7 linked regions of the Macaca fascicularis genome follow. The protein of the gene in region 7 interacts with the protein of the main gene of each other region in a pairwise test. Links are inferred from orthologs where the notes say so. Each region holds a gene or a part of one and is shown on either strand. Other genes may lie near its edges. The genes, in order: EIF3D, PSMB1, OAS1, NIF3L1, ARHGEF3, STK25 and TRIM27.

Evidence for each region.
Region 1: the proteins of TRIM27 (region 7) and EIF3D interact in binary tests that used the Homo sapiens proteins (3 or more experiments, as listed by UniProt). The two-hybrid records come from large-scale screens. The link is inferred for Macaca fascicularis from reciprocal best matches to the Homo sapiens genes TRIM27 and EIF3D.
Region 2: the proteins of TRIM27 (region 7) and PSMB1 interact in binary tests that used the Homo sapiens proteins (3 or more experiments, as listed by UniProt). The two-hybrid records come from large-scale screens. The link is inferred for Macaca fascicularis from reciprocal best matches to the Homo sapiens genes TRIM27 and PSMB1.
Region 3: the proteins of TRIM27 (region 7) and OAS1 interact in binary tests that used the Homo sapiens proteins (3 or more experiments, as listed by UniProt). The two-hybrid records come from large-scale screens. The link is inferred for Macaca fascicularis from reciprocal best matches to the Homo sapiens genes TRIM27 and OAS1.
Region 4: the proteins of TRIM27 (region 7) and NIF3L1 interact in binary tests that used the Homo sapiens proteins (3 or more experiments, as listed by UniProt). The two-hybrid records come from large-scale screens. The link is inferred for Macaca fascicularis from reciprocal best matches to the Homo sapiens genes TRIM27 and NIF3L1.
Region 5: the proteins of TRIM27 (region 7) and ARHGEF3 interact in binary tests that used the Homo sapiens proteins (3 or more experiments, as listed by UniProt). The link is inferred for Macaca fascicularis from reciprocal best matches to the Homo sapiens genes TRIM27 and ARHGEF3.
Region 6: the proteins of TRIM27 (region 7) and STK25 interact in binary tests that used the Homo sapiens proteins (3 or more experiments, as listed by UniProt). The two-hybrid records come from large-scale screens. The link is inferred for Macaca fascicularis from reciprocal best matches to the Homo sapiens genes TRIM27 and STK25.

Annotation. Positions count from the first base shown.
Region 1 is NC_088384.1:15,131,998-15,136,903, forward strand, and holds the start of EIF3D (eukaryotic translation initiation factor 3 subunit D), read left to right. Parts: upstream 1-1,601; 5' UTR 1,602-1,690; intron 1,691-3,876; 5' UTR 3,877-3,944; exon of another isoform or gene 3,945-3,962; intron 3,963-4,906. UniProt on the Homo sapiens protein: mRNA cap-binding component of the eukaryotic translation initiation factor 3 (eIF-3) complex, a complex required for several steps in the initiation of protein synthesis of a specialized repertoire of mRNAs.
Region 2 is NC_088378.1:530,155-534,434, reverse strand, and holds part of PSMB1 (proteasome subunit beta type-1), read right to left. Parts: intron 666-4,280; coding exon 559-665; intron 1-558. UniProt on the Homo sapiens protein: Non-catalytic component of the 20S core proteasome complex involved in the proteolytic degradation of most intracellular proteins. This complex plays numerous essential roles within the cell by associating with different regulatory particles.
Region 3 is NC_088385.1:119,855,742-119,859,797, forward strand, and holds the end of OAS1 (2'-5'-oligoadenylate synthase 1), read left to right. Parts: intron 1-622; coding exon 623-802; intron 803-2,455; coding exon 2,456-2,798; 3' UTR 2,799-2,970; downstream 2,971-4,056.
Region 4 is NC_088386.1:96,660,736-96,665,015, forward strand, and holds part of NIF3L1 (NIF3-like protein 1), read left to right. Parts: intron 1-575; 5' UTR 576-601; coding exon 602-1,037; intron 1,038-1,902; coding exon 1,903-2,065; intron 2,066-4,280. UniProt on the Homo sapiens protein: May function as a transcriptional corepressor through its interaction with COPS2, negatively regulating the expression of genes involved in neuronal differentiation.
Region 5 is NC_088376.1:119,843,072-119,847,351, reverse strand, and holds part of ARHGEF3 (rho guanine nucleotide exchange factor 3), read left to right. Parts: intron 1-69; coding exon 70-102; intron 103-840; coding exon 841-1,011; intron 1,012-2,431; coding exon 2,432-2,494; intron 2,495-4,280. UniProt on the Homo sapiens protein: Acts as a guanine nucleotide exchange factor (GEF) for RhoA and RhoB GTPases.
Region 6 is NC_088386.1:137,448,120-137,451,762, reverse strand, and holds part of STK25 (serine/threonine-protein kinase 25), read left to right. Parts: intron 1-429; coding exon 430-538; intron 539-1,293; coding exon 1,294-1,451; intron 1,452-1,537; coding exon 1,538-1,723; intron 1,724-1,883; coding exon 1,884-2,074; intron 2,075-2,363; coding exon 2,364-2,478; intron 2,479-2,886; coding exon 2,887-2,958; intron 2,959-3,643. UniProt on the Homo sapiens protein: Oxidant stress-activated serine/threonine kinase that may play a role in the response to environmental stress.
Region 7 is NC_088378.1:144,252,642-144,257,435, forward strand, and holds the start of TRIM27 (zinc finger protein RFP), read left to right. Parts: upstream 1-1,372; 5' UTR 1,373-1,723; coding exon 1,724-2,143; intron 2,144-3,376; coding exon 3,377-3,472; intron 3,473-4,794. UniProt on the Homo sapiens protein: E3 ubiquitin-protein ligase that mediates ubiquitination of various substrates and thereby plays a role in diffent processes including proliferation, innate immunity, apoptosis, immune response or autophagy.

The sequences.
Region 1 (4,906 bases), on a different chromosome or scaffold from region 7:
CAGCATGGTAAAACCCCGTCTCTACTAAAAATACAAAAATTAGTCGGGCATGGTGGTACACGCCTGCAATCCCAGCTACTTGGGAGGCTGAAGCAAGAGAATCGCTTGAACCTGGAAGGCAGAGGTTGCAGTGAGCTGAGATCCTGCCACTGCACTCCAGCCTGGATGACAGAGAGAGACTCCATCTCAAAATAAATAAATAAATAAATAAATAAATAAATATTAAAAAATTAAAAATTAGGCCGGGCGCGGTGGCTCAAGCCTGTAATCCCAGCACTTTGGGAGGCCGAGGCGGGTGGATCAGGAGGTCAGGAGATCGAGACTATCCTGGCTAACATGGTGAAACCCCGTCTCTACTAAAAATACAAAAAACTAGCCGGGCGTGGTGGCGGGCGCCTGTAGTCTCAGCTACTTGGGAGGCTGAGGCGGGAGAATGGCGTGAACCCGGGAGGCGGAGCTTGCAGTGAGCCGAGATCACGCCATTGCACTCCAGCCTGGGAGACACAGCGAGACTCCGTCTCAAAAAAAAAAAAAAAAAAAAAAATTAAAAATTAGCCAGGCAAGGTGATATGCACCTGTAGCCTCAGGTGCTCCGTAAGCTAAGGCGAGAGGATCACTTTAGACCAGGAGTTAAAGACCAGTCCAGGCAACATAGTGAGACTCTGTCTCTATAAAATTTTTTTAAATAATTAGCTGGCCGGGTACGGCGGCTCATGCCTGTAATCCTAGCCCTTGGGAGGCCCAGTGAGTGGACTGCTTGAGCTCAGGAGTTTGAGACCGGCCTGAGCAACATTACAAAACCCCATCTCTACCAAAAATACAAAAATTTAGGCAGGCGTGTTGGTGTGTGCCTGTGTAAACCCAGCTACTCGGGAGGCTGAGCTGGGAGGATGGCTTGTGCCTGGGAAGTCGACGGTGCAATGAGCCGTGATCCTGCCACCACATTCCAGCCTGGGCGACAGAGAGAGACCCTGTCTCAAACAATAAATAAAAATAAATAAAAACGGTGTTCCAGAAATCCCTGTCCTACAATTAAGTTTGAGAACCGTTTAAGTATGGTTTGAAATCTGGCGGTTAGAACCCTAAACTAGCAGTCTGATCTAGGCAGGTCACTTGGCACCTCTGAGCCTCAGTTTCCACAACTATAAAGGCGGAGGGGGTAACAATAAAGTCCCCCGAAGACCCCGACCAACCTCTCCTGCTGTGAGCTTCACACTAAGCAGGCGGATAGAGCAGGCGGGGAGTCGCGGGTGACTATGGGATACATGGGGGCTAAGGCGTGCCGCGAGCATTGTGGGACACAGAGGGGCGCCAGCCGCTCCCCGCCTCTAGCTTCGATTGCGCGGCCGCCACGTTTCAGTGATGAACGCCCTCTTTGGGCGTTCCCGGATACCGCCTGACGTAGTACCAATCACACCTCTCGCGTCTCGACGCCTCAGAGGCTAATAAGGACGCCTGGCGAAACGCAGTAACGGATTTCCGGGTGGACCTTCGCTTTACGGCTCGTAAGTTCTTCCGCCCAACCCAGAGGAAGCGGGAGCGCAGTTTACGACAGCGCCGGTCGTGTTTACGGCGGCGTCCGCTGCGCGCGCATATTTTCTTTTTTTCCTGGTTTCTCGGAGTGCTGCTGCTAACGCGGTGTCCGGCCAGCACCATCTGTTGCCATCCCGGCCGGCCGAGGCCGTTTCAGGTGAGCGGCATGTTTCATAGGTTCCTGCGGACCTCCGGAGCCGGCTCGGACTAGGTCCAGACTTCGGGGGCCTCACGGAAGAGACCTTTCTTAGTCCCTTCCTGCTGTTGCTGTTCCTCCGCTGGGCGGGGCAGGAATCCACTTTCGGGGGCCCCACGTCCTGCACACTACTGGACGCGGGGCACGACTTTGTGGGTGAGGTCCCTGGCCCTAGGCCCTGCTCATTGCCCATGGGCTGGGTGAATTTGATTGCCAGTTAACCCATCTCGGTTAAGGCGGAGGGGTAACAACAAGGTCTTTCTGAAGTGGCCGAAGACACCCTGACTTTTTAAGTGGGGTCTTAAGGGGTGCCAGGTTGAGCGGTGTTTGGCCCCTGTTCTTAGGAATTCCCAGTGCATAGGTTACCTTCCGTTTTTTGTGAAACTGGAGGCTAGGATAGTTACGCCACCCCCTGTTCAGCGATGGACGGCGTATGATCCGTAGTGGCCTGCCAGCCACAGAGCCCCTTCTGAGTGCCTTCTTGGAGCCCCCCTATCCTGCCCTTCTGACCAATACAGCTGTTACTTCGTTTTTACTGAGCAGCTCAGTTTCTCCTGGTTCCTCTCTGCTCTCCTTTTTAAAAAAAAAAAAAAAAAAAAAAAAAAAAAAAAAAAAAACATGTATTAAAGCTAGGGAAGCTAGGGTATCTCACCGCTGTCTTTCCAGAGAGGTGATGCAGGTCAAGCCTCGGGCCTTTTCCCTTCTTGAGCTTCTGACAGAATCCGATTTTTAAAAGTGTGTCTTGCGACTCACTTTTGGTATTACTAGGTACGGTCTCAAACCCCCGATCTTTGCGGGCTGCTACCCAGCTGTAATAAAATGGAAAGAAAGCTGGACTGACAGCAGGCACCCCTGGAAATGAAATCTGTTTTGAAATGATGACGTCAGCTGCTTGGCTAGGCTGGGCTTCAAATTTTTGCCTCTAAAGTGGGGGTGAGGGGGTGTTAATGGTGTTAAAGTATCTGGCATATTTCTTGACACATAGGAGCTCAGCGATATTTAATACGAATTGTTCTGAGACCACCACCCTTTTTTTCTGTCCTCTTCCTATAGTTCCTATTAGGAAGATGAAGCTTCTAGGTTTATTCCGTGTTGCTGTCACCCAAATGTCATCTCTGAAGGAAGCCTCAATCTCCCCAGCATGGGGCTTTGGGGGGAGTTTACTAAGTTCAGCATACCTGTTATTTTTGATTGTTCTCCAGCCTCCAAGAAATACTGGATTTTTGTCTTTTTATGGAGTCTTGCTATGTTGCCCAGGCTGGAGTGCAATGGCACGATATTGGCTCACTGCAACCTCTGCCTCCCAGGTTCAAGCGACTCTCCTGCCTCAGCCTCCTGCGTAGCTGGGATTGCAGGTGTCCACCACCATGCCCGGCTAATTTTTGTATTTTTAGTAGAGACTGGGTTTCTGTTGACCAGGCTGGTCTCGAACTCCTGACTTCGTGATCCGCCCACCTCGGCTTCTCAAAGTGCTAAGATTACAGGCATGAGCCACTGCATCCAGCCTCCAAGAAATATTTGTGTAGTGAATGCCTTCTAAGCATTTTCAGAAGGCTACAACGGAAGATAAATGCATAGGTTTTTTTTATAGGAAGTGTCAGGCAAGCATCCGCTGTAGAACCCTGGTCTTTTAATTCCCCTGAGAGAGCTATAGCATTATGCAGAGTGCAGACACTGTAGTCAGACTGCTTTGGTTCACGTTTTTCATCAACTAGCATTGCAACTTTGGGCAATTTCTTCATTTCTCTATGCTTTGGTTTTCTTATCTGGAAAGTGCGAATAACATTGGCTTCTACCTCACAGGATTGTTGGCAGGATTGAATGAATGAATGAGTGGTCACCACTAAGAACAGTGCCTGGCAGTATTCATGAACATCTGACATGGCCACTTTGGGCCTGAGGTCTATGGGGACCTCCTTGGCCTTCTGGCAGTTCTTTTGCCTGGGTTTATGTCCACTTGCTCTGCACACAGGATTTGCGTTGATGGCAGAAAATTGAAACAATAAGAAAGGAAAATTGAATTTCAGGATATACTTAAAGATCCTTTTTTCTCAGCACTCTCTATGCATAAATGTACTTTTGCAAGTCTGAATACTCGTGTGGCATTTTACAAAGTGCTTAAAACAAGGATCTTGTTTATTTTGCAGATGAAAAAGACTAAGGCGGCTGGACGTGGTGGCTCACGCCTGTAATCCCAGCACTTTGGGAGGCCGAGGTGGGCGGATCATTTGAGGTCAGGAGTTCAAGACCAACCTGGACAACATGGTGAAACCCCGTCTCTACTAAAAGCACAAAAAATAGCCAGGCAGTGCTTGCCTGTAATCCCAGCTACTCGGGAGGCTGAGGCAGGAGAATCACTTGAACCCAGGAAGCGGAGGTTGCATGCCACTGCACTCCAGCATGGGTGACAAAGTGAGACTCTGTCTCCAAAAACAAAGAAAAAGACTACTAAGTCTTAGGGAAGTTGAGTTTGTATGAATTGGTGAAGGTATATCTCAGAACCAAAACAAGGTTACTATATTTGAAAAAACATCAGTACATTTTATCAAATCTGTGACACCATTGAATTTTTTCAAACACTTACATTGTGTAACACAAAAAAAGAGCCGGGCGCGGTGGCTCAAGCCTGTAATCCCAGCACTTTGGGAGGCCGAGGCGGGCGGATCACAAGGTCAGGAGATCGAGACCACAGTGAAACCCCGTCTCTACTAAAAATACAAAAAATTAGCCGGGCGCGGTGGCGGGCGCCTGTAGTCCCAGCTACTCAGGAGGCTGAGGCAGGAGAATGGCGTGAACCCAGGAGGCGGAGCTTACAGTGAGCCGAGATCGCGCCACTGCACTCCAGCCTGGGCAACAGCGTGAGACTCCGTCTCAAAAAAAAAAAAAAAAAAAAAAAAAAAAAAGAAAAACTACCAATCAATATGACACTCTGTCAAGCACAAGGTGCTGCCTCCTTTTAAAGCTGTTACAGTGAAAGAGTTTCGTGAAATTAATGACATAGGGTCAATCAGTTTTGTTTGCATTCTTCTGGGTTTTAAGTACATATTCACAGTATAATTAACAGTAGTAGTCGCTCAACAGTTGAGGGTTCCAGTTTGCGTGTTGCTTTTTGAATTCTGTCATTTATGTCTTTGCTTACTTCATATGGAGGGCTTTTTGTACTCTGAGGCCTTCGTT
Region 2 (4,280 bases), about 140 Mb from region 7:
TGTAGTTTACTTTCTCATAAGAATACAGCACATAATACATATATAAAACACGTGATAATCCACAGTTTATATTATTGGCAAGGCTTCCAGTCAACAGTAGGCTTATTAGTAATGTTTTCTGGGAGTCGAAAGTTATATGTGGATATTCCAGTGCTTGGGGAATTGGCACCCCAACCCTTGTGTTGTTCAAGGGTCAGTTGTAGGCTTGGGAGTTCAAGTACAATACTGGGTAACACAGAAACGGTGGGTAAGACGGAGAAAGGTATTTTTATGATCTTCAGGTAAAGATGGCAAAAGAATTAATCACTACAGACATAAAAGAGTTGGAAGCCATGAGAATACAGGAAAACAGTCAAAACCATGGGAGTAGGTAAGGACCCACCAGAGAGTAGGGAGAACACAGAGAGAGATGGTAAGGCTTCTGCAGGGCACATCTGCCAAACTCAAACAGTAATTTATAAGAAAGTCTTTATACCTTGGATCTCCTAAGCTAATGAAGAGAACTTGGAGAAAAGTACTTCAAATGAATACTATGACAAATTAGACACATATCATTACCTGGTTGTCAAGCAGGGGCTGTAGCATGGCACTTGCTGAGCCTCCAGCCTTGAAGGAGTCTCTCTGGTAAGACCCTACTGGGTCAAAGCTGTATACAGCCCCCTTTCCTTAAAGAAGAAAATAGTATCCATAAGGATGGCATCCAATCACAATCCCAAATCATCACAAAAATAAATCAAGTCAAAACGTGACACAAAATGGACTATCACCTTGGCTAAAACGTCAGGGAACAGTTGGAACACAGTCACTGTTGCACTGGTGACAGCTGCACCACACACACTGTTGCACATGTGAAAGCCAGAACACAGTCGCCATCGCACAGGTGACAACCAGCACACAGTCACCATCGCACAGATGCCACCCAGCACACAGTCACCATCGCACAGGTGACAACCAGCACACAGTCACCATCGCACAGGTGCCACCCAGCAGACAGCCCCAACCCCTGTGTTGGTGTGTTGTTCAAGGGTAAACTATGCTTGGGAGTTAAAATACAATATTAACACAGAAAGGGTGAGTAAGAGGGAGAAGGGCATTTTTATGATCTTCAGGTAAAGATGGCACGAGAATTAACCACTGCAGATGTAAAAAGAGTTGGAAGCCATGAGAATTCACAAAAATAATCCAAGCCATGGGAGTAGGTAAGGACCCACAAGAGAGTAGGGAGAACACAGAGAGACAGTAAGGTCTGTGTAGGGCACATCAACCAAACTCAAACAGTAATTTATAAGAAAGTCTTTATATCTTGGCTCTCCTAAGCTAATGAAGAGGAGAACTTGAAGGAAAGCACTACCTATGTATATAGACAGGTCCAAGGGACACATCCGCAAGACAAAGTAAAATGAAGAGAATTCTGTAACATGTATAATACAATACTATTTTTGTTTAAAAGAATAAGAAAACTCTTTGTACAAGCACAAAAAAGTCTGGAAAGATAAATAACAGACTGTGGTTGGTTATCTTTCAGCACTGAATTAGAGGCAAGAAAAGAAAGGAATTACTTCTTATGTTTCTATATTATTCGAGTTTTAAAAAGAACACAGGTAATTCTACAATTTTTAAAAAGGCCTGTTAAAAACAACTGTGTTCTGGGTATGAGAAATCATGAATCATTTACAACGTATGATTTTTTAAAAACATAACTGATTTGGAAAACACATTATATACCAGAACTCAGTACCCTGGGAGATGTGATATAGGGACAGTCTTCTTACTAACTATGTACAACTGCCACTGTTAGCTTTGTATGTTTTCTACTATAGAACTGTGTAAACTTGGCCAAGCGCAGTGGCTCATGCCTGTAATCCCAGCACTCTGGGAGGCCGAGGTGGGCAGATCACAAGGTCGGGAGTTCGAGACCAGCCTGGCCAACATAGTGAAACCCCGTCTCTACTAAAAATACAAAAATTAGCCGGGCGTGGTGGCATGTGCCTGTAGTCCCAACTACTTGGGAGGCTGAGGCAGGAGAATCGCTTGAACCCGGGAGGCAGGGTTGTGGTGAGCCGAGATCACGCCACTGCACTCCAGCTGGGGCAACAGAGTGAGACTTGGTGTCAAAAAAAAAAAAAAAAAAAAAGAATTGTGTAAACTGAAATTCTCTGGTGGAGAAGGCACCATCTGAGGTCACCTAAGAAACTGTGGGAAGTATTTTTGCTGAAAGCAAGCTTGGGACAAGACACGAGATCACAGCAGGCAATCCACTAACCTTAATATACAAAAAAAGAAAGAGATATAAGGTGTAAAGGCAAAAAAATGATTATATCTCTCATGAGGACGACGGGCCACATATAAACTGAGGTCCAAAAGCTTTACCCAAGGATGGGACCTATCTCAGAAAACCACACACAACAAATTTGAAAAAACAAACCGAAGAAATGGTGGGCTACGTCCAAGAACACAGCTTTAAAGATCCCCTAGAAGAAGGAAGAGAGACACTACTAAAATCAGTATAAAACAACAAAAATAAATAAATAAAAATAAAAATAAAAATAAATGTAGAATGGCATGAATCTTGACTACAAAGTGCTTTTCCTCATCAAAGTAAAATCCAAAAAGCACAATAATTTCAATGTAAAAAAATCAGACAAGTCTTAAAAGAAACACAGGTAAGCTTTGGATGGGAGAGGTTTTTCTAACAAGGCAAGAAACTGAATGTCATAAAGAAATGACTGACAGATTAGACTGTATGAAACACAGAAATTTCTGTGTAGCAAAAGGCACTGCCCAAAAGAGACAAATAACACTCTTGGGGTCGTCTATATTACAGACATTTGACACAGTTGAATGTAGTTCTTGAAAATCAATGAGAAGAAAACCTGCAAATAAGGAAATGGGCAACAGTTAACACATTAATCAGTCTCCAAAGAGGAAATTTATAAACTCAATAAACATATGAAAACATGCCCAAAAATATATATAAATGAAAATAATAGACTGTTCAATGGGGAAAAACATGTTTCCAAATGTGTTAATTCTAATACTGGGAAGGCTACATAAAACCAGGTACTCGGGGTACTGGCATGTCCTTCAGAAAGGGTACAGTCAACAAAATACAAAAAAAATTATCTGACCCAATACTTCAACTACTAGAAGTCTATTTTAGCAAGACAAGCATAATTGGAGAAGTTCACAAAAATGGATGTACAATGACGTTCATCATATTGTTTATATCAAGAAAACAGGAAGCCAAAATGTCCTTTAGAGGACTGGTTAGGTAAATGATGGTACAGCCATACTGTGTAAGTCAGCTATTAAAAACTATGTGTTACAGCAGCAAAAACAGAAGAAAAAAAAATTTAATTAAATACAAAAATCACTATGCATACAGCTTAGATCTCCTTGATAATAGACAATGTATAGTTACAGAAAAACAGATACCAAAGTCCTACTTATATAAAACTGCACGAGTGTATGTATAAACATGTACTGATTGATTATTTTCACTACCGAAAAACTAAAGCCACTTTTAATTTGGGAGAAAAATATTTAAAAGGCATGACAGCAGCTAAGAGAATAAAGACAGAGAGGTTAGTGCCGACAGCGGTTGACACCAAGGGAAAGAGCTGTGGACCTTGCTGTCCTGAAGGTTTCAATATGGAGCACTGCTCTCCAGGTCCCTGCATCCACCAACACAGAAGACAGTAAATGAAGTCTCCTGATACATTAGCAGAGGCTCTCGACTTAGGGGACCAGGTTCTAGAGTGGCAAAGGGTAGGAGCAAAACACATGAAATGGAAAGTTGGTGTAAACAAAACACAGACCATCAGGCCCCTTCCTCCTCCGAGGCCTAAAATGCTGCCAACCAGGCTTCTCCTCCTGTAGTCCCACCTCACCCCAGGAAAAAAGATTAAAGAAATTCTTCATCTGAAGAAAATGCTGCTTATTGAAGCACCCAGTTAATGGCTGTCAGTTGACAAGCTATGTAAACAAGGACTTTTATAATCAAATTTTCATACAACACTTCAATGTGAATGGACAGCCAAAAAAAAAAAAAAAATCAGAAAGTTGAAGGAAGCCTCTAACACAGAAGACACAGGCCAAAAATGAACATACAACATGAAAAAAAAAAAAAAGCACTCTGATGAAATATACAAAGAAAGTACAAAACATCTAACAAAAACAGAATTTTTTTTAAAAAAAGCTAAAAAATAAGAAACAGCTCTTGGAAATTAATGACACCAGAAATAAAAGCAATCAGTAAAGGATGAAAAGCTAAAAGTAAG
Region 3 (4,056 bases), on a different chromosome or scaffold from region 7:
GAGGCAGGCACTATCATTTTACAGGTGAGTAAACTGAGGTTCTGAGAGGTAAGGAGCTCGTCCGGCCCTTAACAGAAAATGAGTAAAATAGCTGGAATTTGAACTGAAATAAGAACAGCAGCAACAACAATGATAGTAATTGCTCCCAGGTATTGAAAGCTTGCTGTAAGACTAACACATGCTAATATAATAGTAAAAATTATTATCAATATTACTGACATGTATGTTATGTTGTAGTCACTGTGCTGAGCATTTCACATAACTGGGCTTTTTCTATCCTCACACCATAGCCTTTGAGATACGTATGTGGAACTATCTCCATTTTACAGATAAGAATCCTGAGGTTTAGAGAGTTCAAGTGACCTACTCAAGGGCACATCACTCATAAAGGGCAGAGGTGGGATTCAAACCCACATCTGTCAGGCGCAAGTGCAAGGCTCCTTCTCCTCATGCTCACGGCCCACTGGGGAACAGGGCACTGGGGACATACCCCAGGGAGCCCTTCCTCGTGCTCTGAGTCCCAGTCCATCCCAGGCTGCTATTTTGCTCTCCAAGGAGCATCTGGACTCCCTGGACTGAGCCCCAGCTTCTCACTTGTCCCTCTCTAAATGTTGCTCTGCAGGCCTGTGATTCTGGACCCGGCGGACCCTACAGGAAACCTGGGTGGTGGAGACACAAAGGGTTGGAGGCAGCTGGCACAAGAGGCTGAGGCCTGGCTGAATTACCCATGCTTTAAGAATTGGGATGGGTCCCCCGTGAGCTCCTGGATTCTGCTGGTGAGACCTCCTGCTTCCTCCCTGCCGTTCATCCCTGCCCCTCTCCACACAGCTTGAGACATATAGCTGGAGACCATTCTTTCCAAAGAACTTACCTCTTGCCAAGGCCATTTGTATTCATATAGTTCCAGGCTGTGCTCCATATTTAACAGTCATTTTGGTCACAATCGAGGGTTTCTGGAATCTTCACATCCCTTGTCCAGAGTTCATTCCCCTAAAAGTAATAATAATAATCTGTAGCACTATTTACTGACTGTCTGCTTCGGGCTCAGGTTCTGTCCTAAGCCTTTTAATATACACTATCTCTTTAAATATTCACAACAATCCCATGAGGCATGTTTTCTTTTTTTTAATTTTTATTATTTTAGGTTCAGATGGCACATGTGCCATTTGTTACACAGCTATATTGTGTAATGGTGGAATTTGGGCCTTTATTGATCCTGTCACCCAATTAGTGAACAGAGAACCCAAAAGGAGTTTTTTCAACCCTTCCCCTTCTTCCTCCCTCCTCCCTTTTGGAGTCTCTAGTGTCTATTGTTCCCATCTTTAGCAGATGTTAAGTATTTGGTTTTCTGTTTTTGGGTTAATTCACTTAGGATAATGGCCTCCAGCTGCACCCATGATTTCATTCTTTCTTATGGCTGCATAATATTCCATGGTGTAGATATACCACATTTTCTTTATCCAGTCCACACTGATGGGCACTTAAGTTGATTCCATGACTTTACTATTGTGAATAGCACTGCGATAAACATATGGGTGCAGGTGTCTTTTGATATAATGATTTCTTTTCCCTTGGGTAGATACTCAGTAGTGGAGTTGCTGAGTTGAATGGACATTCTGTTTTTAGTCATTTGAAAAGTCCCATGAGGTATGTTTTCTATCATTCCCATCTTACAGATGAGACAAAGGCTCAGAGAGGTGAGGTCACTTGCTCAAGGACATCACGAGTGGTAGAAATAGGATTCAAACTCAGTGGACTCTAAAGCCAGTGCTCATGTCACGGTGCTAAACAGCCAGCCTGGTCTCATCCTCACCTTTCATCTGACCAGTGGGAGACTCTGAGCAGCTGAGTGCCTTGGGCTAAATAGGGGCAAAGGACCCAGTCTTGGATCTTTCTACCCCCAAGCAGGAATCTGTCTGATTCCAGGGGATTGATGATGTTGCAGATGGCTAGGAATGGAATTTAGTGTGGATGGAATTTAGTGTGCAGGATGTTCTGGGGGAGAGCCACTGGAACCAGCACTCAGGGAAAGGAGGGGAAGAAAGGATAGGAAGAAAGAAAGAAAGAGCATAGGGAGAAGTGAACAGGGATGCAAAGCAAATGCCAGCTTCAGCCAACTTCAAGGACAGCCCTGGAGCTGGAATGGCCTTTAGAGCTGCCCCATGGCGACAGAAGTGGCCAGGCCTCTATACCCCTACATGGACCACTCACTGTGCCTGGGCACCTGGGAAAGGGCATGGCCTTGAGCAAAACGCTCTCTGCAGCTGAGGCAACCCCTAAACGGGCTGAGGGCTGAAGTCTGTCTGCTGCCCACCATCCCAGCAGCTGGGGTTTGTTAGTCTTTCCTCAAAGGGGGATCCAGATGGCATGTCACAGTGTCCACCTTAAATGCTCACTGAATCCAGCTGCAAGGTAGGAAGACTCCCTGATGAGATCATGTGTCTCACCCTTTCAGGCTGAAAGCGACAGTGAAGACGATGAGTCCTACGATCCCAGGATGTATCAGCAACATGGTTACATCCAAACATATGAGTGCCCTCATTTCTCTCATAGCCCCAGCATACTCCAGGCAGCATCCACTCCACAGGCAGAAGAGAACTGGACATGCACCATCCTCTGAATGCCAGTGCATCTTAGGGAAAAGGGCTCCAGTGTTATCTGGACCAGCCCCTTCGTTTCCAGGTGGGACGCTTGATCCAGAGAGGACAAAGGTCCTCAGTGAGCTGGTGTATAATCCAGGACAGAACCCAGGTCTCCTGACTCCTGGCCTTCTATGCCCTCTCTCCTATCATAGATAACATTCCCCACAGCCTCGCTTCATTCCACCTATTCTCTGAAAATATTCCCTGAGAGAGAACAGAGAGATTTAGATAAGAGAATGAAATTCCAGCCTTGACTTTCTTCTGTGAACCTGATGGGAGGGTTATGTCTAATGTATTATCAATAACAATAAAAATAAAGCAAATACCATTTATTGGGTGTTTATTAACTTCAAGGCACAGAGCCGCCAAGAAGTACAGATGCCTATCTGGGGGGGGGGGGGTGTGTGTGTGTGTGTGTGGGTGTTTGTGTGTGTGTGTGTGTATACATTGATTCAACAAGAAATATTTATTGAGCACTTACTATGTGCCAAGCATAGCTCTGGGCACTGGGAACATAGCAATGCACAAAAGCAGACAGAAATCCCTGTCCTCATGACCCTGCAGAGCCAAGGCTTCCAGAATTTTTTAAGTAAAAAAAAAAAAAAAAAAAAATCCGTGTCCTTATGGAGTTGACATTTGTGCAAAACATCTTAATATTAGATGGTTTTCCTATTACTAGTAATTCTGAAACAAGCATCCTTGATTTATCCTTTCTCCATATCTCTGAGAAAAATTCTAGAACCTCTCTATGTGACACAGCAGCCACTAGCCACATGTATCAAATGCTTAAAACATAGCTAGTCTAAATCTATGTGTGCTGTGAGTGCAAGATATATACTTGGTTACAAAGACTTAGTACAAATGAAAAGAAGGCCAAGTTCTTGCCAACTGATAATTTGTTTAATTGTGTGCTGAAATGACAATTTTTAAATATATTTGAGTTAAATCAAATGAGCTTCATCTCTTTCTTTTCCCTTTTTAATTGTGTTTACTAGAAAATGTGAAATCACACATGTGGCTTACATTATATTATGTATTTCTATTGGACAGCTCTGCCCTCCAAGGTAAATCACTGGATTAAAGATTCGACTATACTGACTTACATTGCCACATTGTTACACTGTCCTTGGGACCAAGAATCAGCATATCATTCATAATACTCTAAAATATAAAACTCTCATAAATACTCACAAAAGAACTTGAATGCTCTGATCACCTGAGTTGCTGGTCACTTGGGTAGCTGGCAAGCAGTCTTTGGTCTGTCCAGATTATATTCTTCCATTTAGTCCCCCAGCACCCCTGTGAGATGGGTTTTGCCCCTGTGAGATGGGTTTTGATGTTATTCTCATAATAGTAAGTGGAATAACTTGAGGTTCTAAGAGGTTGCGGTGCTTGCCCAGGATCGCCCAGCTGG
Region 4 (4,280 bases), on a different chromosome or scaffold from region 7:
TATGCAGTAAGCAGTTAGTGCTGGCTTATATTAGCGATACTGAGATTTATTAAAGATAGTTCCTATTCCATAGTAGCTTTAGCATAATGGGCACACACAATAATGAGAATACTGAGGGGTTGGGAGCCTTGGGAAGGATGCTGAAAAGGGAGGTCAAGAAAAGTTTTATTTAAGAAGTTGAAGGGGGTTTGGGAAAAGGAAGGATAATATTTAGAGAAATGGATTAGGGAGGAGGTTGGTTGAAGCAAGGGTAGGGAGAATAAGAACAAGGGTGTGTGAGGCAGGAGATGGGATGGACGTTTGTGTATTATGTACCAGACTTTGCTAGGTTACATAATTCATTTGCTCCTCTGGATGGCCTGTGAGGTGGGCTATAGTATCTCCATTTCGTAGGTGAGAAAACAAGATTGGAGAGGTTAAATGGTTTACCTAAGTTACTATGTGCTGGTAAGTGGCAGAGCCACTATTTGAACCCAGATCTCTATGATGACAGTTCTTTTGCCCATATGCTTTGATGCCTCAAAGATCCAGGCCTAAAGTGTACCTGTGTACCATTTTCTTTGTTTTGACTTCAGAAACTTGAACTTTACCTGATTTCTGTATGTTGTCATCTTGTGTACGCCCGGTCCCCACGACAGTCCGGTTTGTAGATTCTCTGATCTGCAGTTCTTCCCGTTCCTTCATGGATTTGAAGGCTCTCCTTTCTTCCTTGAATGACTTTGCATCCCTCTCCTTTGCTGAGAGTTGGGACAATGTTGGATTACTGGTGGAACCAAGCCCACCACATACTGTAAATACGCTCTTCCTGACCAATGACCTGACTGAGGAAGTGATGAAGGAGGGGCTGCAAAAGAAGGCAGACCTCATTCTCTCCTACCATCCGCCTATCTTCCGACCCATGAAGCGCATAACCTGGAACACCTGGAAGGAGCGCCTGGTGATCCAGGCTCTGGAGAACAGAGTCGGTATCTACTCTCCTCACACAGCCTATGATGCCGCACCCCAGGGCGTCAACAACTGGTTGGCTAAAGGGCTTGGTGAGAAGCTTCTTTCATATTTGATATTTTCCCTGCAAATACTTTGAAACCTTAGAATGTCTGTCCAGTAAAGTTTTAACTGCTTTAGGGTTGGGGAGGGTATGATTCCATTTTTGTATAATAAATTTAAAATAATGTTGCTGAAATTTGGCAGTTAAATTGCATTTGAAAAAGGAAACATTTTTTATTCTTACGGAGTTAGGAGAGCAGAAGTCTTCCTTACTGGGCTGAACTTCGTGATCCCTCACTTTTGTGGCACAATGCCTGTCACCCAGGCACTTGAAAAATGCTTGTTGAATTGAAAGCTCAGGTCTCTCCAGAATACACTTGATTGATAAATCAGGCAAATAGACATCTGGGTTTTAGTGAATGTTTTTAGTGAATGTTTACTTATGCCTAGGGAATGATGTATGGATTTTAGCTTTACTTTAGTAAGTCTTTTGTTTACTCATTTTGGGCTGAAGCTTTTATGATGATATCTGGATTAATGTGGTCAAATAAAGTATGAGCATTTGCAACCTGAATGATGGTTTACATGGGTAGATTTACCAAACAGTAGACCATTCTGTGTATTATCTGAAAATGTATGAATCAGTCTTTCTTGTCCAAGTTTTTCAGAGATTTAAGAATCTTTTGGAAAATAATTCTGAAATAATTTGATTTTGTACATCCATACCAAAGCCCTAGGGGACTGGTGATGTATATCTAAAGGATATATGTATGTGTGTGTATGTCATATAAGCATGAGAATGAATCTTTTAAAAAAGTCATTTCTTAGAAATTTTGCCTATAATAGTTTATCTTACTTTTAAATGTTAACCTCTAACCCCCCAAAACTCCCATTTTCCCACAATATTTTCTCTAGGAGCTTGTACCTCCAGGCCCATACATCCTTCCAAAGCTCCCAACTACCCTACAGAGGGAAACCACCGAGTAGAATTCAACGTTAGCCACACCCAAGCCCTGGACAAAGTCATGTCTGCAGTGAAAGGAATTGGTGATGTTTCTGTCACTTCTTTTTCTGCTAGGTACAATTTATTTTTCTCTTTTTTGTGTGTGTATTTATTTGTAAGCATCTTCCTTACAAAGTCTGTAACCCTGGTATTTAGGCTTGAAACAAATAATTTTCTCTAGAGTTGGTTTACAAAGCAGCATACTCCTCATTTGTCTGTGGGTCCTGGAGACGTATGGAATTTTTTCAAAACAATAAAAACAACAAGTAACACTTATTAAGTATTTTCTATGTCAGGGGACTATACTATGCATTTTATATACAGTATTTCTAATCCTGTTGATGTTCAAAGATAGTTGTTTTCACTTTAGAGAACACAGATAGATCCTAGTGATGTGGTGATGAGGCTTTTATTGGTTCCCAGCAAATCAGTGATTTCCAAGCACTTTCTTTGTTTTTTATATTTATCTTTACATTTTAAATATATATTTTCATAAATCAGTTTTTTAATTTAACATCATGGGAAATACTTTTCTGAATAATCTTTGTTTGTTTGTTTTAAGAGACTCCCAGGCTGGGCGCAGTGGCTCACACCTATAATCCCAGCACTTTGGGAGGCCAAGGCTGGTGGATCACCTGAGGTCAGGAGTTCGAGACCAGCCTGACCAACATGGAGAAACCCCGTCTCTACTAAACAAAATTAGCTGGGTTTGGTGGCGCATGCCTGTAATCCCAGCTACTCGGGAGGCTGAGGCAGGCGAATCACTTGAACCCAGGAGGCGGAGGTTGCAGCGAGCCGAGATCGCTCCATTACACTCCAGCCTGGGCAACAAGAGTGAGACTCCATCTCAAAAAAAAAAAAAAAAAAAGCGATTCCCATGCTGGAGTGCAGTGGTATGATCGTAGCTTGCCATGGCTTTAAGCTGCTGGTCTCAAGCAGTCTTCCCACCTCAGCCTCTTAATTAGCTGGGACTATAGCTGCCAAGCACTTCAAGTGAAAAATACATTAAGTGCCTCTTTATAAGGTCAATCATTATTTAGGGCAGAGATAGGAGTTTTTTTGGTTTGTTTATTATTTATTATTATTTTTGAGACGAAGTCTAGGTCTGTCACCCAGGTTGGAGTGCAGTGGCACAATCTTGGCTCACTGCAACCTCCGCCTCCCTGGTTCAAGTGCCCGCCACCATGCCTGGCTAATTTTTTTTTGTATTTTTGGTAGAGATGGGGTTTCATCATGTTGGGTGGGTTGGTCTTGAACTCCTGACCTCGTGATCTGCCTGCCTCAGCCTCCCAAAGTGCTGGGATTATAGGCGTGAGCCATGGTGCCCAGCTGTTTTTTTATTTTTTATTTTTGAGAGACAAGGTCTCACTTCGTCACCCAGGCTGCAGTGCAGTGGCATGATCACAGCCCATTGCAGCCTTGACCTCACAGGCTCAAGCCATCCTCCCACCTCAGCCTCCCTAATAACTGGGACTATAGTTATAACTTGCCACCATGCCTGGCTAATTTTTGTATCTTTTGTAGAGACAGGGTTTTGACTTGTTGTCTAGGCTGGTGTCAAACTCCTGGGCTCAAGCCATGTGTCCACCTTGATTTCCCAAAGTGCTGGGATTACAGGCATGAGCCACTGCCCCCAGCCTAACCTCTCATTATTTTTAATTGCTTGTAGTGTTTCTTATTATGGATGAACGGTAGTTTCTTTAAGCATTCCTCTTCCTACTGATGGACTTTTTAGTTCGATTCCAGTTTTTCCATATTGTAGATAATATCTGAGTTTTACCACTAGATAGGGACCAAGGCATTGGTTTTCTTTCTTTTTTAAAAATTTCGGCCGGGCGCGGTGGCTCAAGCCTGTAATCCCAGCACTTTGGGAGGCCGAGACGGGCGGATCACGAGGTCAGGAGATCGAGACCATCCTGGCTAACACGGTGAAACCCCGTCTCTACTAAAAAATACAAAAAACTAGCCGGGCGAGGTGGCGGGCGCCTGTAGTCCCAGCTACTCGGGAGGCTGAGGCAGGAGAATGGTCTAAACCCGGGAGGCGGAGCTTGCAGTGAGCTGAGATCCGGCCACTGCACCCCAGCCTGGGCGACAGAGCAAGACTCTGTCTCAAAAAAAAAAAAAAAAAAAAAATTTCACAGATGATTGCAGAGTTTATAATTAATGCTTCCAGATTATCTTTAAAGGTGTTCTTTAGTTCTAGAATTTTATGATTATATTTAGAATTTATGGTTAAATGTGAAACTTTCTTGATGCCAATAATTTTGGAGAGGCTCTGGAGGGTGATCCA
Region 5 (4,280 bases), on a different chromosome or scaffold from region 7:
AGAAAGGGAAATGTCTTTCTATATGTAACGAAAATGTCTAAGGGTGGTTCTTCTTCTTTCCGGTTTCAGGCACAGTGGGATCCAGAGGCTCAAGCAGTATTGGTAAAGCTTGCTCCCTTCCTGCCTCCACTGGTCACTCCATCCTTCATTCTAGGTCCCTTTATTCTCTCCTGTAGCAGACAGATGCTTCTGCTTAACCAGGGAGAGTTGCTGCTGGAAGCCCCTACTTGTGTTATCTCTTGAACTCACAATCTCAAAGGAATACTCTTTCCTCCTTTCTCCCATAAATCATGTGAGAAATTTCAGGGAATCACATGCCCATCCCTGAACCAGGATGGTGGAATACTCTGTTGGTCAGGTCTGGGGGAGCCCACCAAAACTATATGTAATAGGATACCCAAAGTTAGTGGGATTCTATTTATAGAAGGAGGAGAGTAGGAGTACTAGCCAAATGTTTAAATAAATAAAGGTCATCCACTATTGTTATCTCTTGTTCTTCTAAAGAGGGGAGATGTTCACTGGAAAAAAGTAGAGCTCATCACGTATCCAAGAACTGCCTTCATGCGTGAGTTTGGCCTGATATGTGCTTGCACTGTAGTCCACTTGGTATCCAGGTCGCACAGAACGGATACTCCCAGCGCATGTTCCAAAGCAGCCCCCTGTCCAATTTTCCTTAGCACGTAGGCTCAAGACAATGCCCCACTTCCCAAAGGCCTTGTGGCAATGTCCTCTTTTTCTTTCACATGTATGATTTATGTTCTGTCAACGACAGGAAACTGCTCAAAGATCCACCCAGTCCTGCCGCTGCCCCCGTGATGGTTTGTTTTTCTCATTGTTTAGCGCTCCATTAGCTTCCGCAGTGAGAGCCGCCCTGACATCCTCGCCCCCCGACCCTGGTCCAGAAATGCCGCCCCCTCAAGCACGAAACGGAGAGATAGCAAGCTGTGGAGTGAGACCTTCGATGTGTGCGTCAATCAGATGCTTACATCCAAGGAAATCAAACGTCAGGAGGTAGGCTCCGGGCCCAAACTCCATGTTGGCTGTGTGTCTGCAACAAAGGTGCATTGCAGGCGTCAGCCGTGCTGGAGTTTGCGCCTTAGTCTCCAAATCAATTCTTCATTGCATTTGTAGAAGGACAAACGGGAGTGTCTGACCTTGGGGAAGGAACTGAGAAACCAGAAACCAGCTGGGAGGGTGTGGCCCCCACTTTAAAAAGAAACTGATGTGAAAATGTGAATTTACAAGAAGATGAAACCAAATGTCTATTTAGGATTCTGAAGTTCACAGAAATAATCATTTTAGTTATATTTTGATAGCAACTTCTAGACTATTTTAAAATATTCAGTTTCCATAACTTTGATTCAGCTTTGTGGAAAACTTCCTTTCTATAGAATCCAGTTAATTTCATTCCCTGTAAGTTTTCTGTATCAATTGCCCTAAATGGCTCTGATAATATTACCCTGTATAGAAGAGCTTGTCTAAGTGCTTGTGCCAGGCTGTGCTGAGAACTTCATGTGTGCATCATCGGATGAGATCCTTGGAGTATCCAGCCCAGGGTTGTGCCTCCACCTGCTTTGTCCTCAGTTTACCAAGCAGCCCCAGGTGGAGGGAGCTTTCAAAGCCTGACCACTTTTTCCCTATATCCTGAAACACAGTAGACCCTGAAATATAATTACAAACTTGTAGTCCTTTAATAATGTAATGTTTGCTGACAGTTTGACTTCCCAGATGGAAGTGAAAGAGTGTTCTGCGCGTCATAGCTCTTTAGTATGATGGCTTAATGGAGCCAAATTAGAAACGGTCCATTTACATTACATACTCTTCCACACAGCCAGCTCCTATAATTTTATTTTTTGTACCTGTGGGACTGAGAGGTAATTTAGAATGAATTAACTTTACCAGATTGTATTTGGAGTGATAAAATGTTGGATTCTTCCTACAGTATCAGCCTAAAGGCATTGGATAATACAAATAAAACTTTCTGCTGAGATTCGCCTTCTGTCGAGTGGAAGAAAAAGTGAGGATGGCCCAGTTAATAATACTGCCACATCCATTATCTAGAACAGCCTCTGAATCACTTCTTATGATTGCCTCTCACAACAAGGGTACCAAATCCATGCTCACGCTAATTATTTTACCTAAAATAGTTCCCTCTTGTTTGACTGCATCAAAGTTCTCTAACATGAAGATGACTTTTTGAATTAGAAATGTGTGGAAACTTTCTCCCACAAACAGAGAAGCACAATATGCAGTAGTTTTGCAGTATCTTTTCATTGCAGGGTTAAGCATAGATGCATTTGCTTCAGGTTAATGTAACTTAAAATACTTAAATATGTAAATTTGGGGTTTTGAGTGGTGGAGCCAGCACTCTTTGAATATGGTCTTGTAAATGAAGGGAGAATTCAGTAAATATGTTTATCTTTCCTTGCAGGCCATCTTTGAGCTTTCCCAAGGAGAAGAAGACTTGATAGAAGACTTGAAATTAGCAAAAAAGGTAAATTTAAATCCAGTCATTTGAGTCAAGTCACTTTTTTTTCTTGACTAATTTCACAACCCTAAAGTGGTGCTTCATGAGAACTCCTTTTATGACTAAGACTGGTCTGCTACCACACACCAAGCAGTGGGGAAGGTGCTTCAAAACCAGAGGGCAGAATAGCTCTCCAGACCTGGCACCTTTAGGCATTTACCTCTGCATGTCTCTAATGCATGTCAAAGAATACTTCAGCCCAAATCAGAAAGTGTCCATGGAGGCCTCGCTTTATGTATGTTTCGTTGTCCTAGAAGTCTCATATGTACGAGTCTTTGCCCATGGGAGAGAATGTGTGCTTGTCTGAAACTTGAACTGAGTCTTAGAAATAAAGCCATTTGAATCTTAAAAGCAAATAAAGTGAAATGAGGCAATTGCATACTATCATATAAGCCGGGGTCTTTTATATAGGAATTTGTTTTCTAATCAACATTTTGTGTGGGGAGGAGGAGGACAACAAACCTTCCTCAAAAATGTTTTCATTCCAGTGGCACAGCCCCCCTACTCCATGGCTTGGAGGCTAAAACCAGACTCCTTCATCTGATATTCACAACCTCCTCAAAGAATCACAGGGTTGGAAGGATACCTTCCTTCTTTTAAGGGTTTTTAGTCTTTCTGCTAAGATGAAATTCCATCTCTAGCATTCCTGAGAGACGGCCACCCAAGCTTTGCTTGGACACAGCTAAGAAACTGAGTTTTAGGCAGGGCTGGAGGAGGAGATCAGAGAGGACAAAGAAGTTATTTCACTGTGAGAGTTATCATGCTGGTCATACGTGTAATTTCCCTTTCCTGCATGAAGATTTGCCAAACTCAAGCACCTTCAGATGTTTCCCGGCCATCCTTTTCCTCATGGTGGCCCTACCGTCCTACAAACTTTTCTCGTTCCTTTCAACCGTTCATATCCACCCATCCTTCAGGAACCAGCTCAAATCTCAGTTTATTCTTACATAACATTTATTGCCTCCTTCTCTGTACCAAGCAGCTCATCTTCAAAACTTTCCTTGGCCACTCCAGTTTTAATTCTCTGACCCTCTAGAGCAGTTTTGATTTGATGGCTTTTTGCTGTCATGTGACATCAGTCTTGATGTGAATCTTTAAATTTTAAACATAAGCCGGGTCCGGTGGCTCACACCTATAATCCCAACACTTTGGGAAGCTGAGGCGGGTGGATCACTTAAGGTCAGGAGTTCAAGACCAGCCTGGCCAGCGTGGTGAAACCCCATCTCTACTAAAAAATACAAAACTTAGGCCGGGCATGGTGGCTCACGCCTGTAATCCCAGCACTTTGGCAGGCCGAGGTCGGCAGATCACGAAGTCAGGAGATCGAGACCATCCTGGCCAACATGGTGAAACCCTGTCTCTACTAAAAGTACAAAAATTAGCTGGGTGTGGTGGCGTGCACCTGTAGTCCCAGCTACTCAGGAGGCTGAAGCAGGGAATTGCTTGAACCCGGGAGGCAGAGGTTGCAGTGAGCCAAGATCCACTGCACTCTAGCCTGGCGACAGAGCAAGACTCCGTCTCAAAAGAAAAAAAAAAAAATTAGCCAGGCGTGGTGGCAGGCACCCATAATCCCAGCTACTCAGGAGGTTGAGGCAGGAGAATCACTTGAACTCAGGAGACAGAGGTTGCAGTGAGCTGAGATCATGCCACTACACTCCAGCCTGGGTGACAGAGCAAGACTCCATCTCAAAAAAAAAAAAAAAAGAAAAAAATTCTTTTTTAAACATAGATTTAGTTTTCCATGAGATTGGAA
Region 6 (3,643 bases), on a different chromosome or scaffold from region 7:
TGGCAGTGGGGGGTCATGCAGTGTCCGAGTCCCCTGCTCCTCAGACTCATGGGCTCCAGGGGCCACCTCTCGTTTGGTGTCATGGCACATTAGGTGTTAATTACGAATCGTCTAAAGCAAAAATGAACTGCCATCCGCACATCTGCCCAGTTGGTGCTGAAAGGGGTCCTGGCCTGTGGGAGTGGGCGGGGGCAGGCACGCTGGGAGATGGTTGGGAGCCTGTTTTTCTGTTACATGACAGTAAAGCGAAGCTGGTTTATATGCTTTAGACCACCCCACTCCCGTCTGAAAGTTGTGTTTGAGAAGTAAAGGAACATGAAGCCCCCGGCTATCTGCAGGGACAGCCCTCCCCTGTCAGAGAGACAGGAGAACTCAGGCATTGGGCCTGGGACAGGAGCTGAGGCCCTGCTGTCCCACCTTCCTCTCCAGCTTAAACCAGGTCCCCTGGAGGAGACGTACATTGCCACGATCCTGCGGGAAATTCTGAAGGGCCTGGATTATCTGCACTCCGAACGCAAGATCCACCGAGACATCAAAGGTCCTGCTGGGGGTGAATGTGGCTCTTGTAATGTCCTGAGCCCCACTGACCTTAGAGAGGCTGGGGCCTGTGAGGGGCAAGTGGCTAGTGGTGCCCAGCGTCTGGGGTATAGAGAACCCTGTGGCCACCCTGAAACTGAGCAGTTGTCTTGCTCCATTTCCAGAAGATACTGTTTGTAACAGTTTCCTTGTACGCTGAGGAAACCAGCTGTGGACTGAGTGTAGGAACAGCCACGCTTAGCCACAGTTGTTGGTTCCCGGTGGCTCACAGCACAACAGCAGGTGTAGGCTTGAGTAGCCCCAGCGTGTGGTCTGGCCCTGCTAAGTGCAGACATGAGGTTGGGCCAGCCTGTGGGGAGGGACTTGCCACCGGCACCGAGTCATCTCTCTCATGTAGGGGACAAGTCTGGTGGAGCAAGGGGCTTCCTGGCAGGCCCATGGTGGCCACACCCTTGGTCAGGGTCACCTCTGTGGTAGCCCCCAGTGGGCGAAGTCGCCTGTCGTTGGGATTTGTTGTAAAAGCCAAATGCAGGGAGAGCCCTGGAGCTCGGAGTGGAGACCTTAGGCTCCTTCTGGCAGTGCCCCTGTGGCCCTAGGTGGCCCTGGGTTTGAGAGTGGCAAGGAGGGCTGAAGTCCTGAGGACAGCCCTGCTGTGCCCTAGGAGGCCAGGTGGATGATACCCTGGCCCTTCTCAGGGGGCCCTGGGTGGAGCCACGTGGAGCCTGGCATGACGTCTGCCTGTCCTGTGTCAAGCAGCTGCCAACGTGCTACTCTCGGAGCAGGGGGATGTGAAGCTGGCGGACTTTGGGGTAGCAGGGCAGCTCACAGACACACAGATTAAGAGGAACACGTTCGTGGGCACCCCCTTCTGGATGGCGCCTGAAGTCATCAAGCAGTCGGCCTATGACTTCAAGGTGGGTGCAGTGGGTGGGCGGGCGGGTGCGGGCACCACGCCTGACTGGGGTGCTCAGGGCAGCGACAGTCCTTGTGTTCTGTCCAGGCCGACATCTGGTCCCTGGGGATCACGGCCATCGAGCTGGCCAAGGGGGAGCCTCCAAACTCTGACCTCCACCCCATGCGCGTCCTGTTCCTGATTCCCAAGAACAGCCCTCCCACACTGGAGGGCCAGCACAGCAAGCCGTTCAAGGAGTTCGTGGAGGCCTGCCTCAACAAGGACCCCCGATTCGTAAGGCCCGCCTCTGGCCTGGCCCCTTCTGGACGGGCATATGGAGGGAGGGCATTTGCTTGGGGTGGGCAGCACAGCCCGGAGGCCTAGGCCCCCCAGCCTTGTAGCCATGAGGACCTGCCCCAGTCCAGGCTGCCTCACATTTGCTTTCCTGAGGCAGAGCTTGGCTGGGCCCAGTGACCGATGTTCCCCTGACCCCGCACAGCGGCCCACAGCCAAGGAGCTCCTGAAGCACAAGTTCATCACACGCTACACCAAGAAGACCTCCTTCCTCACGGAGCTCATCGACCGCTATAAGCGCTGGAAGTCCGAGGGGCATGGCGAGGAGTCCAGCTCCGAGGACTCTGACATGTAGGGGCCTGGTTTATCCTCATGGTGACCCTCGGTGTTGTGACGTGGGTGGTCCCCACTCCAGAAGCAGGGGCGTGGGCTCTAGGGGTGAGAGTGACCAGATATAGTATTGGGCAGGGACCCCCTTAAGGCTGCAGGACAGGGCCTGCTGAGGCATCAGTTGGACTCCGTGGCCTGGCAGAGCGCCGCCCAGTACCTCGGGTTTCCCTTGGCCGTGAGGTGTGCCCTGAGGCCCTTGTGCCTCCTGGTCCTCCCCCCACTGACCCTGGCAACTCTTCATCCTCTTCAGTGATGGCGAGGCGGAGGACGGGGAGCAGGGCCCCATCTGGACGTTCCCCCCCACCATCCGGCCGAGTCCACACAGCAAGCTTCACAAGGGGACGGCCCTGCACAGCTCACAGAAGGTCTGTTCCCGGCCTGGCCTCTGCCTGCTGTGCACCCCTGGGGCTGGGTGCGGGACCCAGCTTTGTCCACCCAGTGTCTGGGGCTTGGACAAGGAGCTTGGGAAAGGCAGGGGTGGTCTGAAGCCCACTGTGGCACTGGGCCTGGTGTGGAGACCCCAAGCCCCAGCATGTGCTGGGAAGATGAGGGCCTGTTAGGAGCCAAATTTGTGAGGAGAGGGTGGGTGGGAGTTGCAAGTCCTGAGTCAGGCCATCTGGGTGGCTTGATGGTTTTGGGGCCAGCCCTGGGCATGTGCCGTGACAGGCTGCTCCCAGTCTCCATCCCTTCAAGGCTAGAGCCTGAAGGGATGGGAGTGCCCTGCCTGTCGCCTGCACTGCCCTGCTCACCCTGGGCCTCCACTTCCTTTGCAGCCCGCAGAGCCTGTCAAGAGGCAGCCAAGGTCCCAGTGCCTGTCCACGCTGGTCCGGCCTGTCTTCGGAGAGGTGAGAAGGGGGCTGGGGCTGGGGCTGGGGCTGGAGCCCCGCCAGGGACAAGGCTGGGACGCTGCTCCGCGGGGATGTCCCCTCACAGTGCCGTGGGGCAGTCTCAGCTTCTAGGTTTCCTGCAGCTGATTATGGGCTGGGTTTCCTGAGTAGAAGGAGCAGAATCTGCTGTGATGACCTTTTGTGCTCCCAGACCTGCCAAGGTCCTCTGGGTTCCCAGAGCGACTTTTGTTTTCTTCAAGTGCAAACACAGATGACCCTTCTATAGAGAAAGCAGAGAAGATGTAGTCGGGGTCCATCCAGGGCAGGTGCCTCCCTGGTTAGTCACATGACCTTGCATCAGCGTCACCTGCTAATGGGCAGTCGGCACCATTCTCAGAGATGTGATGCAGCCAGGAGCTCTGTGCCCAGGGCGTGGCCAGTGGGCTTGGGCCCAGGTGTGCTCTCCAGGAGCCCCTCCTGGAGCCTGGGGAGGATGTGGGTGAGAGGTGGTGACAGGAGAGCCTGCCTGAGGATGGCAGAGGGTGGAGCAGTCGAGGGACACTGGCCCCAGCCCATGTGGAGGCCCCAGTGAAGCAGCCACTCAGGCCCAGGTCCCGGGCAGCCTGCTGACCTAGCCACAGCCCCCGAGGGTGGGTGACACCCGGTGACAGAGGCTCGGAGCTGGTGTCTTGATGGAGGTCAG
Region 7 (4,794 bases):
GGGGAAGAGGACCAGAGGGGAACTCTAAAGTGATGATGTGGGCTGCTTTGCCTATGGAGTAGCCATTCTTTATTCCTTTACTTTCTTAATAAACGTACTTTCACTTTGAAAAAATAAAATAAAAATCAAGTAAGGTCTGGAAGCAGAAGCCCGTATTGCTCAGATAGCAGGACAATATTGAGAAAATCTCAAAGAAAAGCAGGAGACATCAAGCAAGGGATAAGAAAGCAACTTAAAAATGCTGGAGGTCTACTGCATGATAAGACAACGAGTATTGTGGGACTCCAAGACCCTGGGTCACTGTAGGATTCTTAGTCTCTCTATACTTCAGAAAGGAGCAAGCAATTTTTAGTTGCTCCTCAATACAACAACCCTATGTAATGGGCATTTTGTTACTATTTTAATGGATAAACAACCTTATGGTTCAAAAAGTAAAAGATGTAACGAAATCTACTTCTTTACGGCGGTACAGTTATCATCCCCATTTCACACGAGGAGAAACTGAGGTAAATGAATGGTAAACCAACTTGCTTGGGCACAAGTGAGAGGTAGCAGAGCTGGGCTTGTTATTGCCACACAGAAATGTTACCATCTGATAATTAAACCTTTCTTTTTCTAAACAAAACTGCAAGTGCCTACAAATGGGTCTGTTTAATAAAAGGCCTCACCTATCAGGTGGGCTCAGACGGTGACCCTCCTCATCCTCCAGCCTCTTGGGGAAGCCAGATGTCTGCGCTCCCCAGCACCTATATAAAGCCAGCTTTCTTTCTTCTTTTCTTTTTTTTTCAAGACGGAGTCTCGCTCTGTCGCCCAGGCTGGAGTGCAGTGGCGATCTCGGGTCACTGCAACCTCCGCCTCCAGGGTTCAAGCGATTCTGCTGCCTCAGCCTCCTAAGTAGCTGGGACTACAGGCGCCTGCCACCACGCCCGGCTAATTTTTCTATTTTTAGTAGAGATGCGGTTTTACCATGTTGGCCAGGATAGTCTCGATCTCCTGACCTCGTGATCCACCCGCCTCGGCCTCCCAAATGCTGGGATTACAGGCGTGAGCCACTGCGCGCGGCCAAAGCCATCTTTAGCAGGGGCTGAGACCTGGGCACCAAGAAGAAACCCAACTAAACACTAGGGGCCTGGGCCCGGCAGTCGCGGAAGATTGTAGGCCCGGAGCGTGTGGCACCATCTGCTTTTGTGACCAGTCCCCTAGGCTAGAGCTTCGGCGCGACCCGCCCAAGGGAGAGTGGCGGAGCCTCCCAGGCCTTTCTAGAGAAAGCAGCCCGGGCCCCGAGGCCACGAAATCTTGTCACACACTATAAGCGCGGGCCAAGCCCCGCCCCCCGAGCCGCCTCTTCCGCTCGCGCCGGGGTGGGGTCTACGCGGCCGCCGGGATCCGCTCGGACGCGGCCACGTTGTCTTGCGCGCTTTGCGCGCCTGGCCCTGGGATCCTGACCCTTGGCTACCCGTTCCTGCCCCAGTAACGTGGCCGCGAGTCTCTGTGAGCCGGCTGTATTCCCGCACTCGCTCAGGGGGCACAGGCGCAGGGATCGGCCCGGCCACTCTGAGCCTTCGGTGCGCGGGCGCGTCTGGGATACGGGCCCGGGAGGCACCGCCCTCCGTCCGCCCGGTGCCTCCCAGGAACAGCGAACGGGAGAGAGCGCCGGAGAGTTGGGCTCCGTGCAGAGCTCGGCGCCGGGGCCCATGCCCGTGAGCCCCCGCAGGCCCGCGCCATGGCCTCCGGGAGCGTGGCCGAGTGCCTGCAGCAGGAGACCACCTGCCCCGTGTGCCTGCAGTACTTCGCAGAGCCCATGATGCTCGACTGCGGCCATAACATCTGTTGCGCGTGCCTCGCCCGCTGCTGGGGCACGGCAGAGACTAACGTGTCGTGCCCGCAGTGCCGGGAGACCTTCCCGCAGAGGCACATGCGGCCCAACCGGCACCTGGCCAACGTGACCCAGCTGGTGAAGCAGCTGCGCACCGAGCGGCCGTCGGGGCCCGGCGGCGAGATGGGCGTGTGCGAGAAACACCGCGAGCCCCTGAAGCTCTACTGCGAGGAGGACCAGATGCCCATCTGCGTGGTGTGCGACCGCTCCCGCGAGCACCGCGGCCACAGCGTGCTGCCGCTCGAGGAGGCAGTGGAGGGCTTCAAGGTGAGGGCGCGGATCCGGGAGGGCGGGAACGCGAGTCGGACAAAGGGAGGAGAGAGCCAAAGGGGCTTCCCTTTTTCCGCCTAGAAAATGGCTGAGCCGGACGTGTGGTTCACAGCCGTCATTTCCTCTCTGTCCGCTCCAGAGCCTCAGCACTCAGATTTGGAGGAAAACCTGTAGCTGGCGAGGGAGCCAGAAGTCTCCCCACCCCCACTCTCCTTTCTCTGTGTGCCCCCATGTTTCCTGTCTCACGGACACATTGTACACGGAGACATGCTTTTGACAGTATAAAAGAAGTGCATAAAATCGCTTGCACATCGACGAGCTGTAGAGACACATGTACTCTCGTCGGCTGTCAGACAAAACGCAGTCGGACATTAACTGACCGATGCCCATTCCTTGGTCTATAAGCATTTCCCCAGCACTTTCCTGCAATACGTCCTGGTCTAGAAACTCACAGAAAAGAACAGGCTCTTCACTGCTTAAGTCATTTAACCACTCTGAGACTCAGGAGATAACAGTTATGAGGAAGATTATGGAATCATGTGATGCACAGAGCCCTCTGTGAACTGGCACAGCTAAACAGAAACGTGGAAACAAAATATTACATATAAAACAGTTGTAAGGTGACCTTCAAGGAGTCCATGATACTGTGTATTTTCTGTATGTTGAGGGCTTCAGGAATTCATACACAATTATGTCCGTGTTTAAATATGAATACATTCATGTGTAATTAATCACTTAACATTTATGGACCTTTCAGCTATATTCTTTCACTTACTCTGGTGAGAACTCTTGAGTAGGTTGGGAAGATGGTGTTTGCCCATTTCACACATGAGGGAAATAAGAAGTCACTTTCACAGTATGCTTGTGTGGAAGAGCTACAATACAACATAACTCTAAGCCTCCTACTCCAGTCACAGTTCCGCTAAGTCATGCGATATCCTACCAGGGACAGGTAGATGATTCATTGTTTAAGATAGACACAAATAATCCTGACGAGGTAGCTGAGTGGTTGAAGCGACAGGCTGCTAAGATAGACACAAATTGCCAAATGAGTGGCTTGTTGGCCCCTGCGCCCTGAGTCTTTCTCTTGTGGGTGGCAGTGTGGCCTGAGAACAAGTGCCAACTGGATACTTGGCATCAGGTGTGTGGACTCCATGTGTGATTAGAAGTACCATGCTGATGCTAAGGTCTACCTAGTTTTGAACTGCCCATCTGTTTTGCTTTTCTCAGGAGCAAATCCAGAACCAGCTTGACCATTTAAAAAGAGTGAAAGATTTAAAGAAGAGACGTCGGGCCCAAGGGGAACAGGCACGAGCTGAACTCTTGGTAAGGGTTGTTGGAATTCACAGTCGCTTCTGCTGGTGCTCCCCTCTTCTGTAGAGCTGATGTTACTTCCCTTAGACTTGTCCAGCATGTCACCCAGAACCTGTAGGTAGAGGGGGATCAACTGCACATGGCAGTGGGAACTCACCCAGAGAACTAAGAGATTCCCTTTCTTTTGGGGAAAGCGTGGAGGAGCCAAGTTTGGAACCCTTGGAAATCAGACCTGTCAGTATAGTTTAACCTGCTAACTGCGTAGACCAAGGTTGATCCTTGGCAAAGCTGAGATGGGTAAAATTATTGGATACAGTTAGCTTGCGTTGTTACCATTCTTCAGACAAGTGCTAATAGTGGATTTGTGTAAGTCCCACTGTTGCTTCTCTTTGTGTTATTCTCCTTTCTTGACAATGCCTTAATTCTGAATTTTTTGCTCTGCTCTCTTCCTCCAATCTCTCAAGGCCTCGACAAGTGGCTGATGTATTAATTTATGATAGGGGTATATGGGAATTTTTTCTTTTTATTTCCGACAGGGTCTCACTCTGTCACCCAGGCTGGAGTGCAATGGCAAGGTTTCGACTCACTGCAACCTCTGCCTCACATTTCAAGTGATTCTCCCACCTCAGCCTCCCAGGTAGCTGAGGCTACAGGCATGTACCAACACACCCAGCTGATTTTTGTATTTTTAGTAGAGATGGGGTTTCACCATATTGACCAGGCAGGTCTCGAATTCCTGACCTCAAGTGATCCACCTGCCTTGGCCTTCCAAAGTGCTGGGATTACAGGTGTGAGCCACTGCACCTAACTGGGAATTTTGTTTTGAAAAGAAAAAAAAAAACAAGGCAGGGCATGGGGGGGGGGTGGCGGCTCACACCTGTAATCCCAGCACTCTGGGAGGCTGAGGTGGGCGGATCACCTGAGGTCAGGAGTTGAAGACCAGCCTGGCCATGGTGAAACCCCGTCTGTACTAAAAATACAAAAAATTAGCCAGGCATGGTGGTGCACACCTGTAATCTCAGCTACTCGGGAGGCTGAGGCAGGAGAATCACTTGAACCCGGGAGGTGGAGATTGCGGTGACCCAAGATCGTGCCATTGCACTCCAGCCTGGGCAACAAGGGCAAAACTCCGTCTCAAGAAAAAAAAAAAAAAAAGACAGTACAGAGACATTTATAATACACATTTGTATATCCACCACTTAGGTGTTTGAAAATGTTTTTTGAACAATAAATAAAACATTACCAGTCTCCACCCACTAGAGGTATTTCTGTCTGAAAAGTAAAGTCCCAGACTAGTAGAGTCTAGCATCACTTTTTCAGTCCTGGTAGGGTGT